Linked DNA regions of Macaca fascicularis. The protein of the gene in region 1 interacts with the protein of each later gene in a biochemical or structural test. Links are inferred from orthologs where the notes say so. Each region holds a gene or a part of one and is shown on either strand. Other genes may lie near its edges.

The links.
Region 2: the proteins of LGALS3BP (region 1) and LGALS3 form a complex in vitro, tested with the Homo sapiens proteins (4 studies listed by BioGRID). The link is inferred for Macaca fascicularis from reciprocal best matches to the Homo sapiens genes LGALS3BP and LGALS3.
Region 3: the proteins of LGALS3BP (region 1) and LGALS1 form a complex in vitro, tested with the Homo sapiens proteins (2 studies listed by BioGRID). The link is inferred for Macaca fascicularis from reciprocal best matches to the Homo sapiens genes LGALS3BP and LGALS1.

Annotation. Positions count from the first base shown.
Region 1 is NC_088390.1:85,383,134-85,387,212, forward strand, and holds the start of LGALS3BP (galectin-3-binding protein), read right to left. Parts: upstream 2,841-4,079; 5' UTR 2,683-2,840; intron 86-2,682; exon of another isoform or gene 83-85; 5' UTR 66-82; coding exon 8-65; intron 1-7.
Region 2 is NC_088381.1:122,996,796-123,000,438, reverse strand, and holds part of LGALS3 (galectin-3), read right to left. Parts: intron 1,725-3,643; 5' UTR 1,721-1,724; coding exon 1,703-1,720; intron 1,049-1,702; coding exon 731-1,048; intron 1-730. UniProt on the Homo sapiens protein: Galactose-specific lectin which binds IgE. May mediate with the alpha-3, beta-1 integrin the stimulation by CSPG4 of endothelial cells migration.
Region 3 is NC_088384.1:13,959,318-13,963,683, forward strand, and holds the start of LGALS1 (galectin-1), read right to left. Parts: upstream 2,805-4,366; 5' UTR 2,737-2,804; coding exon 2,728-2,736; intron 1,456-2,727; coding exon 1,376-1,455; intron 1-1,375. UniProt on the Homo sapiens protein: Lectin that binds beta-galactoside and a wide array of complex carbohydrates. Plays a role in regulating apoptosis, cell proliferation and cell differentiation. Inhibits CD45 protein phosphatase activity and therefore the dephosphorylation of Lyn kinase.

The DNA.
Region 1 (4,079 bases):
AGCTCACCTTGGGTCCCTGCGACCAGCAACCACACCCAGAAGAGCCTCGGAGGGGCCATGGCCATGCTTGGATGCCCAGATCCTGCTGCAGACAGAAGCGGCAGAGTGAGGCACGGGAGCCAGGTGGCCCGAAGCCCGGGGACCGGCCTGCCCATTAACCCTTCAGCCCGACCTGGGCTGTGTGGCAGGCGGGATCCCTCTCCTGCAGAGCCCACTGTGGTCCCAGTAAGTGTGATGGGTGCTATGGAAGCGCCCCACAGGGGCCCCTCACCTGGTCTGCAGCATGCTCCTGGAAGGATGTGTAAGACTTGGCTAGATGAAGGGGTGGGCTGGGGGTACCCCCTGGCAGTTAAGGACAGCAAGAATCGGTGACTAGAGGCAAGTGAGCTCATCTCAAAAAACCAGGCCCCGGGCAAGGCCGCCACATGGGCATGGGCGGGGAGGGTGGAGAGGGAGGAGGCCATGGGCACAGGCCCAGGTCGGGGGGCCGGGTGAGCCTGGTTAAGATCTGGGCCTTAATCTTCAGGCAACAGACCCCCGCAGGGACTGTCCCAGAGGCCTAAGCAGGCAAAGGCAGCCTGCAGAGTGGATGGGAGGGGACTCGTCAGGAGAGGCCACGGAGGCTGGGCCGGGGTGACAGATAAGCAGCAAGGAGACACATCGGGGCTCCATGGTGTTCGGATGGGGAAGATAGGGGAAAAGGGTCAGGGCTGCAGCCCAGGGTGGGCCATGCTGGGGGAAGAACGGGGAGGAAATGCTGAAGTATCCCCAAGACACTGACACTCAGGCTGCGGTTGGGGAGGTCCGGGTCTCCGCCTTCTGGCCTGGTGTTCTTGCCTCCGTGTAATTTCCACGCTTTTGTCTTCGCCTGCCTCCCTCCCCCACACCCCGCCAATGGAGAGACAGGTATGGCTTCTCTGGCTCGGTAAGAATCCTGTGACACTGTCCCCTCAGTTCAGCAAGCCAGGGGCAGGCCTCTGGGTGGCACTGCTGTGGGCACCGGCTGGGAGTCTGGGCCTGGTGACCTTGAGGCTGCTCAGAGGGGGCCTGGTGGACGGCTGCAATGGCATCGCCAGAGCTTGTTGGAAGTGCTGTCATGGCTGGCCTCGCCCTAGCCCCTCTGCATGGGAGTCTGCATGAACAAGCACCCTGGGAGCTGGGTGCCCTGGCTGGTGAGAGCTTTGCTCTGGGACTCACGCTCACTGGCACTGCGCAGCCACCCCTTATCAGGGCTCCCCAGGTACCACTGGAGGCCTTACCGTGACCTTGAGAACCACCTTAGTTACACCCCACCTTACAAGTGAAGAAGCTGACACCCAGAGAGGTAAATGGGCTCCACGTCCACAGCCATAGGCAGGGGGTCTGCTCGGTGGAGCCCACCTCTCCTCCCTGCGTCAATGTCAGTAGATGGCTAAAGACACCAGGGTGTGACTGCCTGTCCTGTGTGCTGGGGACTGTGCTTGTTTTAGCACTGAAGTTTCCCTGTGTCCTGGGAAACCCTCAGTCCCAGGCACGCCGGTATGGGTGGACGCCCTCTCCACTTCTGTACCCAGCCACTTCACTCCGCTGCAGCCACCAGGTTTGTCCGTCCTGGGAGAGTAACTCAGGGCCTTGGAAAAATGGCCAAGTGGCCAGGCGCGATGGCTCACGCCTGTAATCCTAGAACTTTGGGAGGCTGGGGCAGGTGTATCATTTGAGGTCAGGAGTTCGAGACCAGCCTGGCCAACATGGTGAAACCCCACCTCTACTAAAAATACAAAAGAAGAAGGAGAAGGGGAAGGAGAAGAAGGAGAAGAAGTTGGGCGTGGTGGTGCGCATCTGTAGTCCCAGCTACTCAGGAGGCTGAGGCAACAGAATTGCTTGAATCTGGCAGGCAGAGGTTGCAGTGAGCCATTGCACTACAGCCTGGGTGACAGAGCAAGACTCCGTCTCAAAAAAAAAAGTGGGCAACGAAGCACCTGGCAGGTGGCGTTCCGCCCTCTGGGTGGCAGCGGCTGGGACTTTTGCCTGATTCCTTCATACGGGGAGTTGAGACCCGGCTGCCTGTGTTGCCCCCTTCATGCAAATCAGAAAAAAAGGTGCTCTTCCTAGGAGTGGGTGCAGGCCTAGGCCAAATGCACAGGCCCGAGAGAGGCCAACCTGGATTCTAACCCACTCGCCCTCTGGCTGGTATCCTCGTGCCACCTGCCCAACTGCACACAGAGGTCCTGTGGGCCTGGGAGCAGCAATGACTGTTGCTGGGCTCAGGAGCCCTGGATCCCCAGCTCCAGGCCTATGTGCAAACAGGGAGGCATGACCCCCACTTGCCTGTGTAGAGAGAGGGGTGCCCTGGCCGGGCGCGATGGCTCACGCCTGTCATCCCAGCACTTTGGGAGGCCGAGGCGGGTAGATCACCAGAGGTCAGGAGTTTGAGACCAGGCTGGCCAACATGGCGAAACCCTGTCTCTACTAAAAATACAAAAATTAGCTGGACGTGGTGGTGCGTGCCTGTAATCCCAGCTACTTGGGAGGCTGAGGCAGGAGAATCGTTTGAACCCGGGAGGCGGAGGCTGCAGTGAGCTGAGATAGCATCACTGTACTCCAGCCTGAGTGACAGAGTGAGACCCTGTCACAAAAAACAAACAAACAAACAAAAAAAACAAAAAAAACAAAACAGAGAGAGAGAGAGAGAGAGGTGCCCACCTGGGAGCTGGAGGCAGCAGCTTACCTGGCTGGGGCAGCTGCGATGGCTGTGCTGCAGCCCCGTCACTTCCAGCCACAAGAGCCCTCTGCAGACTGTTCCTTTGACCCAGAAGCCTCTCCCAGGGTGGAGTGTGGTCAGGCTGATCCCAGGAAATGCTTCAGAAAAGTCTACTTTCGATTTCTAGAAACCACCTGACATCGATGTCTTCTGGGATTGGCTGCTGCGGATACTCCCCAGGGGCCCTCTCCTTCGTCTCAGCTCTGCCCGTGGGTATCAGTGCCGGGCTGGCAGAGGCCCAAGGCGGGAGTCTGGCTGGAGCAAGGCCCGCAAGAGGACTGACAGCCACACTCAGTCGGAAACGCCGCCAGGCTGGCCAGGGGCTGGTGTTTGGGGGACGGGAGGGGAAGCAGCAGAGGCTCTGGGCCCAGACAGTCTGCACCTGGTGCCGGGGCACAGAGCCTCTCTTGGTGACATAATGGCTCTGTCCAGCTCATAGCCATTCCCTTTCCTCCCACTGAAAGCCAGCGCCTCAATTGTCCCTTGAGGAGCACCCCCTCCCACTCCAGGCTGTGTGGTTCCCAGACGGCCCCCAGCTCTTGGCCTTCAACCACCCAAGGCCTGGGTGTCTGAGCCCTGCGGGGCCCCCCGGGCCACACTACTGGTTTCAGGGTGGGGCTGTGAGCCCAGCCAGCTGGTGAGAGCCGGCTTCCGACTGAGAGGATGTGGGCCCAGGCTGCTGGGGCCCATGGGACAGAGCAGAGGGAAGCAGGCATCCTCCGGCCTGAACTCCTGGGTCCAACTGGCCTAATCAGTGGTCAAGCCTGGGCTTCACCTGCTCAGTGAGGCAATCAGCAGCCTCTTTTGTTTCTGTCACTTGCACTCCGTGATTCTGGACAAGCCTTGGGATGTGCCCAGGCCTCTGACCAGTGGTTCTCAGCCTGGACTGGACAGAAGAATCATCGGGGAGTTTTACAAACTCCTAATGCCCAGACCCAGGAAGTCACCATCTCCGGGAGTGGGGGACAGGCAGGGGCATTTCAAAAGCCCCCAGGCAGTCCCACCGGGTGGAAAGTCCTGGTTCCCTGGCAGCTCAGAGTCCGAGACAGCCAGCCCAGAGGTCAGAGATTCAATGACTATTTCCCTCAAGATGTGAGGTTATAGGCAGCTGCATGGTTTGCCTAATCCCCTCCAGAGGAGCTGTGAAGACCCAGGGGCAGATGCAGCTGGAAATAGAACTGGCATAGCAGGCTGTGGGGAGTTTAAAAAATCTCATCCGGATTAAGGGCCTCGGTGCACAGAAACCCCAGCTTCATCCCTTCTCAGCAGCGCTAATGACTTCTGCCCGAGTGGCCAGGGAAGCACAGGAGTGCCGAGGACAGGAAGGCACCTCTGAGAA
Region 2 (3,643 bases), on another chromosome or scaffold:
CTGAACCGACCTAAAAGGAGACAATGCTATCTTGTGCCATCTTCTGCATAGTTCTGAAATGGTCTAATCCCACACTGGTACTTAGCTCTTTCCTCATATTTATTATATGTTTTATCATCTAACTAGACTATAAATCTGGAAAGGAAGGATCCTGTGGCTGAGATGTATCTGGATCCCCCACAGAGTTATGTTTTACATTTAGAATTCACTTGCTAAGACATATTTTAATTTGCATGAAAATTCAACCCTTAGATCACAAAATTATCTTTAGAAGGTTTTTCAAAACCAGATTACCCTGGTTCCTCTACCTGTTTGCTCAATGACCCTGGACAAATTATATCACTTCTGTATTGCCCCATTTCCCCACATGTGAAATGGGGTTATTAACAGTATCGTATAGGGTGGTAATGGGGTTAAATTAGATCATCCAGGTAGATGCATATTATTGACATGTACTCAGTAAGTGTTAATAATAACCAAAATGTTCTCCATTACTACAATTTTGGTTTATATTCATAAGCAGCTTTATCAGTGCCTTCAAAATATTCATTACCTTCTGTTTATACTAACCACACACAATAAGCTCAACATGAACACTTAATTTTTCGATTCTACCAACATATGCCCATGGCTGGCCCTTGAGAAGTGGCTGTCACAGCAGGTTTAAAGCTCAGGGTCTCCCTGAAGCCCTCTGCATGCCAAGTACATGAAAGGAGGAATGCCATCTCACCAGTGGCCCAGCAGGGGCGCCATAGGGGCCAGTGGCAGGGTAGGCTCCAGGAGCACTTGGCTGTCCAGGAGATGGGTAGGCTCCAGCGCCACTGGGTGGCCCTGGGTAGACTCCAGATGCTCCGGAATAAGCTCCAGGTGCTCCAGGGTAGGCACCTGGAGGTGCCTGTCCAGGATAAACCCCTGGGGGTGCCTGCCCGGGGTAGGCCCCAGGATAGGAGGCCCCTGGGTAGCCCCCTGCCCCAGCAGGCTGGTTCCCCCATGGGCCAGGCCATCCTTGAGGGTTTGGGTTTCCAGACCCAGATAAGGCATCATGGAGCTGTAAAGAAAGACATAAACAATTACAGGACAGAAAGCATTCTCAAAAGCAGAATTTTCAGGGAAATAGGAATATGTGATCTAAGAAGGAGAGGAATATAGCAAAGGCATTACATGCATAGCATTATACTTTTTCCACTTGTTAATAGTTTTGAGTGTCTAAGACTAAAATTAGACGTTGGGGTTACATATGCTTTTTCACTTTGTTCTTGCCTCCCAAGGTCTCAAATCAGGGAGGGCTGCATTTTCATAATTAGCCCAAGTCAGGAGCTAGCGCTCCTCTATTTACAGCACATATTTTTTAATCACTGTGAGAAAAACAATCACAAACATCAGAATGCCCAGACTGTACCGCGCTTCCCGCTACTCAGAGGATTTCTCAGCTCCTGCCAGCAGAGTCCACTCCCTTCCGCCCTGGGCCTTTTGGTGAAAGGGTTACTGTGAGTGAGTCCCAGGCCTTGCTCTGCCTGGCTTTCTTCCCAAATCTGCTGCTGGGAAAACAAGGCTCCAGCTCACAAGCCCTCGTTGGACAAATGAGTCTAGGGGAAGCCACACAGTGGGAGGGTGAAAAGGGAAAGTCATGGTAAAAACAAAACCCCCAACGCTCAACCATGTGGAGTTGATCGAGGGTAAGAAACAGGCATAAAACACTTACCGAAAAATTGTCTGCCATTTTCCTGAGAGAAAGAAAGAGACAAAGGTTATCATTTGATCCTGAAAGCTTTCACCGATTTCCATTAAATTGAACCTCACCACTAGTTCATTGTGCAGTTCTAGTCAATCTCTAGGCATTATGCCTAAGTCAGTAGTGTGGGACCACACAACATCTCCTCAAGGGGCAGGGATGCTTTCCAGCTAGATTGTGAGTTAAATATAACTCACAAGTTTAAACTTCCATCACACTAGCCTGTGCTCTGAATCCTGAGACCAAGAGGCCATACAATGCATGAGGGAGGAGGAGGCAGGGAGGAAGAAAAGGTCCTGTCCCTTTTCCAGGTGAAAAATGTAAACAGTCATGGTTTCTTTTTGGTTCTTCTTCACCTTCCTTCCTTACTCCTTATAAAGGGTTTGGTGTGTTCATCTTGCCCATCTGCCCTCTGTCCCCACTAACTGCCCCATCCCCTCCTCTGGGTTTTTGAAGATCAGCAGTGATTGATTCCTACTGAGACAGGAAAGACAATGACCTCCAGACATAGTTGCTGCCCTGTTATTTATTCCTCTATTTGCACACACTTATGCCTGCTCTTGGTCAGGCACTGCGCAGGCTCCTGTCTAGGTGCGAAGATGAATAGGCCATGATCTGCATGGTCAAAGGGGCCATGGGATCTAAAACTCAAAACGATTGAGCCCACAGAGGTATAGAGTAGAAGGATGGTTACCAGAGGCTGGGAAAGGTACTGGGGGTGGGTGAGTGGGAGGGAGGTGAGGATAGTTAATGGGTGACAAAAATAGTTATAATGAATGAATAAGGCCTGATATTTGACAGCACAACAGGGTGACTATAGTCAATAATTTCATTGTACATTTGAAAATAACTAAAAGTATACTTGGATTGTTTGTAACACAAATAAATGAGAATATGAATGCCCCATTTTCCATGATGTGATTATCATGCACTACATACCTGTGTCAAAACATCTTTATGTAGCCCATAAATATATATACCTGCTATGTACCCATAAAGATTAAGAATTTTAAAAAAAGCCAAAGGGCCCACAGTCCAGCAAGGCAGATGAGATGCATCCATGGAAATGTGAAATAACAAGTCACGAATGCTATGAGTTAGAATGTGTGCTGTAGGAATTCAAACGCAGAAAGCTTACTTCTAAGAAGGAAAGGAAAAGTGCTGTTGGAGCTAAGCCTCAAAGGGCAGCTGAAGTTTGTATGTGCTTTCTTTTTTTAAAGGTACTTGTTATTCCAAATAAAATCTTTGGCAGTACAACAAACTAAGGTGAAAAAATTCAGGCAACGTGAAAGAAAAAAATATTTGGGTGTAAGATGCTACCAAAGAGGGTTTGCCTTGCCCAAAGCTGCCACAAGGGGTGGTCTGGAGACATCAATCCTGCTTTCTCCTGTTCCTTCCCATGTCAAGGCTCCTAAAGCACAAGATGCTTCACAGCTGTTGCAGGTGCTCCAGCTGTGAGGGGAGGAGGGCAGTTGGGCCCCTGAGGCATGGGTGAGTTCTTCCTAAGCTCAGGATCACCTGTGCCATGGCCTGAATTACATAGACCTTGAAACAACCAGAATATCCTTGATTGCCTACCTGTGATATTTACTCAATCACTTTTAGAAATGACATCGCCCCAAGGGATTCAATAAATGTCCACTACTTGATTCAAATGCAAGATATTGGCTGGGCGTGGCTCATGCCTGTAATCCCCAGCACGTTGGGAGGCTAAGGTGGGCGGATTGCTTGAGCCCAAGAGTTCAAGACTAGCCTGGACAATATGTCAAAACCCTGTCTCTATGAAAAATACAAAAATTAGCCAGGTGTGGTGGTGCAGCCTGTGGTCCCAGCTACTTGAGGGGCTGAGGTGAGAAGATCATTTCAGCCTAGGAGGTCAAGGCTGCACTGAGCTGTAATTGCACCACTGCA
Region 3 (4,366 bases), on another chromosome or scaffold:
CGGCCAGCTCCAGCCCCACCGACTGACTAATCTGTCACTCAGTACTCCATGAACACACTTTGCTTGAAGAACTCACTAACAGAGACAAGAAACCTGGATTCTAGCTCTGGCCCTGACAGCTGCTTACGGTGTGAACGTGAGCTAGTCCCTGCCCCTCCTTGCCTGTTTGCTCATCTGTACAATGGGGGCTGCACAGGAGGACTTGCTAGATTCTTGAAGTCACTAGCGTCCTAGCCCTTTTGGTCAAGGTCAGAGACTTCCTCCAGATGGCAACTTCACGTCCTGTCTTGTACATCTGTGTTCCTGGTGCCCAGCACAAGTGGGGCACACCAGAAGGAGATGCTTAGTAATTATGGGGTGAATTAACAAATAATAATACTCCTGGGCACGGTGGCTCACTCCTGTAACCCCAGCACTTTGGGAGGCCGAGGTGGGCAGATCATGAGGTCAGGGGTTCGAGACCAGCCTGGCCAACATGGTGAACCCCCATCTCTACTAAAAGTACAAAAATTAGCTGGGCGTGGTGGTAGGCACCTGTAGTCCCAGCTACTCGGGAGGCTGAGGCAGGAGAATCGTTTGAACCCAGGAGATGGAGGTTGTGGTGAGCCGAGATCAAGCCATTGCACTCCAGCCTGGAGGACAGGGTGAGACTCCGTCTCAAAAAATAAAATAATAAATGCATTTGTTTAGTGGTGATAATAGCTATACCTGCCTCTGAGGGTTTGGTTGCAATGAAATTAGTTCATGAGAAGTGTACGGCTCTTAACAATATCAGCTCTTAACAATATCAGCGGATCCTCACCCTCCTCATCATCACTACACCATCGGCATCTCACTTCCTCCACACAACCACCTCCCCCCCTTGTTTTTCTAACAAAATGAGGCTAGGTGAGGTTGGTTGACTGGTCCAAGGTCACATAGCTGCTGAGAAAATAAGGCAGCCGGCTGAGTGAACGAGGAGTGAAGGAAGAAGGACAGGACTGAGCCAGTGAATGAATGACCTGACGCAGGAGGGAGGGACTCAGAGGGAAGGCGGCGGTGACTCCCGCCTCACTCTTCTCCCCGCCCTCCCCAGATGCAGGCCCCGCCCAGACCGGAAAGGGGTGGGGGCGGGGGAACCAAGGTATTATAGATGACGAGGCTGCAGCTGTTGTAGTTTAAGAGGCTACAGCAGGGAGGGAGCGGGGGAGGGGGCGGCAATGGTGGGGGCGCCCAGACCCCGCGGGGGAAGTGAGTCACCCAGAAAGCGCAGCAACGTCGGCCGGCCGTTAACCCACTCTCGGCCAGGGAGGAGACGTGGACTTGGCCGGCCACGCCCTCTCGGCTGGACCAAGCCCCCATCCCTGCCGCCCACCACCCTGACTTCACCTCTCACCTCTTGGCGTCGGGGGCCACCTCGCCCCGCACTCGGAGGCACTCTCCAGGTTTGAGATTCAGGTTGCTGGCGACCAGACCCTGCACAGACAAGCCCCGGCCCAGCGGGTTAGAGGACAAGGCCTCCAATACCCGAAGTGTCCGGGGGTGGCTGGGGGTGGGAGTGGGGTTGTTCCCGCCCGGCATCCTCTGACCAAGCCAAGGGGAAGCCTGGGGACAGGATGGGGCTGTGATTTCTAGCCTCTGATTCTCTGTGTGGTCCTGGAAAAGTCCCTATTCCCAACAGGGTTGGCTTCAATCTGTAATGTGAATCAGGTTCTAGAAGACAGGCTCTAGAAGATTTTGCAGATTGGCCTGGGGATTTTGAACTCAAGAGTGGCTTGGGAGGTGGGGTGCTCTGTCCCATCGCAGATAGAGAGGATCAGGCTGGGGAGGGGCAGGCAGTTGGCCCACAGTCACACTGAATGCAGGGGTCGACCCCTCTGCTGGAGAGGAAGTGGCTAGGGGGACACTACTATTCTCCTTCAAGCTCCTCTCTGCGAAGAGGCCCAGGGGCTAGAGAGGAGACCCTGAAGAACACGGCCCCTCTGCATTAGGGAGTGGCCTGCAGTCGGGCTGTGGCCAGGCTGGTTCAGGGTTAACAAGATTGAGAAAACTGCTGCGCACTGCTGCTCCCTGGCACCCCGAGTGGGTGGGCAAGAGTTAACTGATTTGAGTGGTTTCTTCTGTCAGAAACTTGAACTCTTTCCCTGGGGCCCGAGGAAGATTCTCACCTCCCTGCCACCCCAACCTCCCAGCTTGGGGGTGGTGGAAGGGAATTTCCCCGGGTCCCCTCCCTCCCACCAGCCTGGACACAACCACCCTCCACCCCCGACCTAGAAAGGCCCATCCTGGGCAGCCTGTCTCGGGTCCTGGCGACTTTTCAGCGTATTCTGGAGCAGAGGGTGACTCTGCCCGGGCCTGGTGACTGGGACAGCTGCAGGGGGGAGGGGACGGGAGGCTTTTTGGGGTGGAGGAGGGGGAAAGATATAGTGGCCTGGGTGTCCCCCAGTTGGCCACACCCTTCCCACGCTCACTACTCAGAGAGCTGCAGAATGTCAACCCTGGGCAGAAATAACTGTGCTTTCAGACCCTGGAGGAATCCAAACAATTATCAATGCAGAGAAGGCCTTGAGGGACCATGGCGCCCACCCCCATTTTACAGATGTGGCCACTGAGGTCTAGAAAAGAGAAGGCAGTGGTTCCAGGCCACACAGCTGGGGCTAGAACCCTGCTCCCGATCTGCCCAGCTCTCCTCCGGCCATCAGCTCCTGCCCTATCCCCTGGACCTTGGGGTGGGGTCCCCACACTCACACAAGCCATGATTGAGGCCAGGAGGATGTTGCCAGGAGAGGCGCACCAGCTGTTAGAAGACTCCACCCGAGAGAGATGGGCCCCCGGGCGCTCCCACCCTTTTAACGGGACCGGACCGGGTGAGCCCCGCCCCCTGGAAGTTCAGCCAATTGCAAGTCAGGACAGGGCTGGGGGCCACCGAGGGCGGAGTCCGTGGAATTTTGAAGCCAGTTCTGGAGCAGAGGTGACCAATCAGAGTGGCCATCTGCCGCCCCCCAACGAGGGTCCAAGCTCCACCTCCTATTCTTCATCCCTCTCCACCTCCCCCTGCCCCGCCACCACCGAAATTGTGCTGTGGCAGAGATTGGGGGAAGCCAATGGAAAATAGTTTCATGATGAGCTAGGCCCACGAGTTGGCGGGAAGGGGCCTGTGGCCAGCAGGCTGGGCTCAGGGGGTGCCCAGAGAAGATGGCTGAGGAGGTGCAGGGTCCTTCAAGGAATCAGAGCTGGGAGAGACCAGGCCACTCCAGGGCAGGGACCAGGGCGTGGCTCCTGCGTGCGCGTCTGCAGAGGGCCACTGACTTAAACCACAGGCCCTGGCGCCACCCGGGCCTTCCCCGGAAGCAAGGACTGCGGCTGCTGCAGCGCTTGCTCGCTCCTAGCTAAGGCTAAAGAAAGGCTGGGCTGCACGCCAAGCCTTAGGTTGCAGGGCTTGGCTAAGTCCTCGGGCTTGGCCCCCTTCAGGGGCATGCAGGGGATAGTCAAAGCACCCTGGCCTGACAGCCTCTGGCCTGAGTGTCAAGCTGGGGAGATGGCCCAGGGTGGTCCAGGCCAGGAGGGGGTGGGGTCCTAGCTCTGTGCACCTGTCAGGCCTCTGAGCCCAAGCCAAACCATCGCATCCCCTGTGACTTGCACGTACGCCCAGATGGCCTGAAGTAACTGAAGAATCACAAAAGAAGTGCAAATGCCCTGCCTTGCAGTAACTGATGACATTCTACCACAAAAGAAGTGAAAATGGCCAGCCCTTGCCTTAAGCAATTATATTATCTTGTGAAGTTCCTTTTCCTGGCTCATCCTGGCTCAAAAAGCTCCCCCACTGAGCACCTTGTGACCCCCACTCCTGCCTGCCAGAGAACAACACCCCTTTGACTGTAATTTTCCTTTACCTACCCAAATCCTATAAAACGGTCCCGCCCTTATCTCCCTTCGCTGACTCTTTTCGGACTCAGCCCGCCTGCACCCAGGTGAAATAAACAGCCATGTTGCTCACACAAAGCCTGTTTGGTGGTCTCTTTACATGGATGTGCATGACAGCACCCTGTCCTCTCTCTTTTTTATTTTTATCTATTTATTTTTGAGATGGAGTGTCACTCTGTCGCCCAGGCTGGAGTGCAGTGGCATGACCTCGGCTTACTGCAACCTCTGCCTCCCAGGTTCTCCTGCCTCAGCCTCTTGAGTAGATGGGACTACAGGCCCCCACCACCATGCCCGGCCAATTTTTGTATTTTTAGTAAAGACGGGGTTTCACCTTGTTGGCCAGGCTAGTCTGGAACTCCTGACCTCAGGTGATCCACCTGCCTCGGCCTCCCAAAGTTCTGGGATTACAGGTGTGAGCCATCATGCCTGGCCACCCTGTCCTCTTTCTTCACATCTCTCCTCT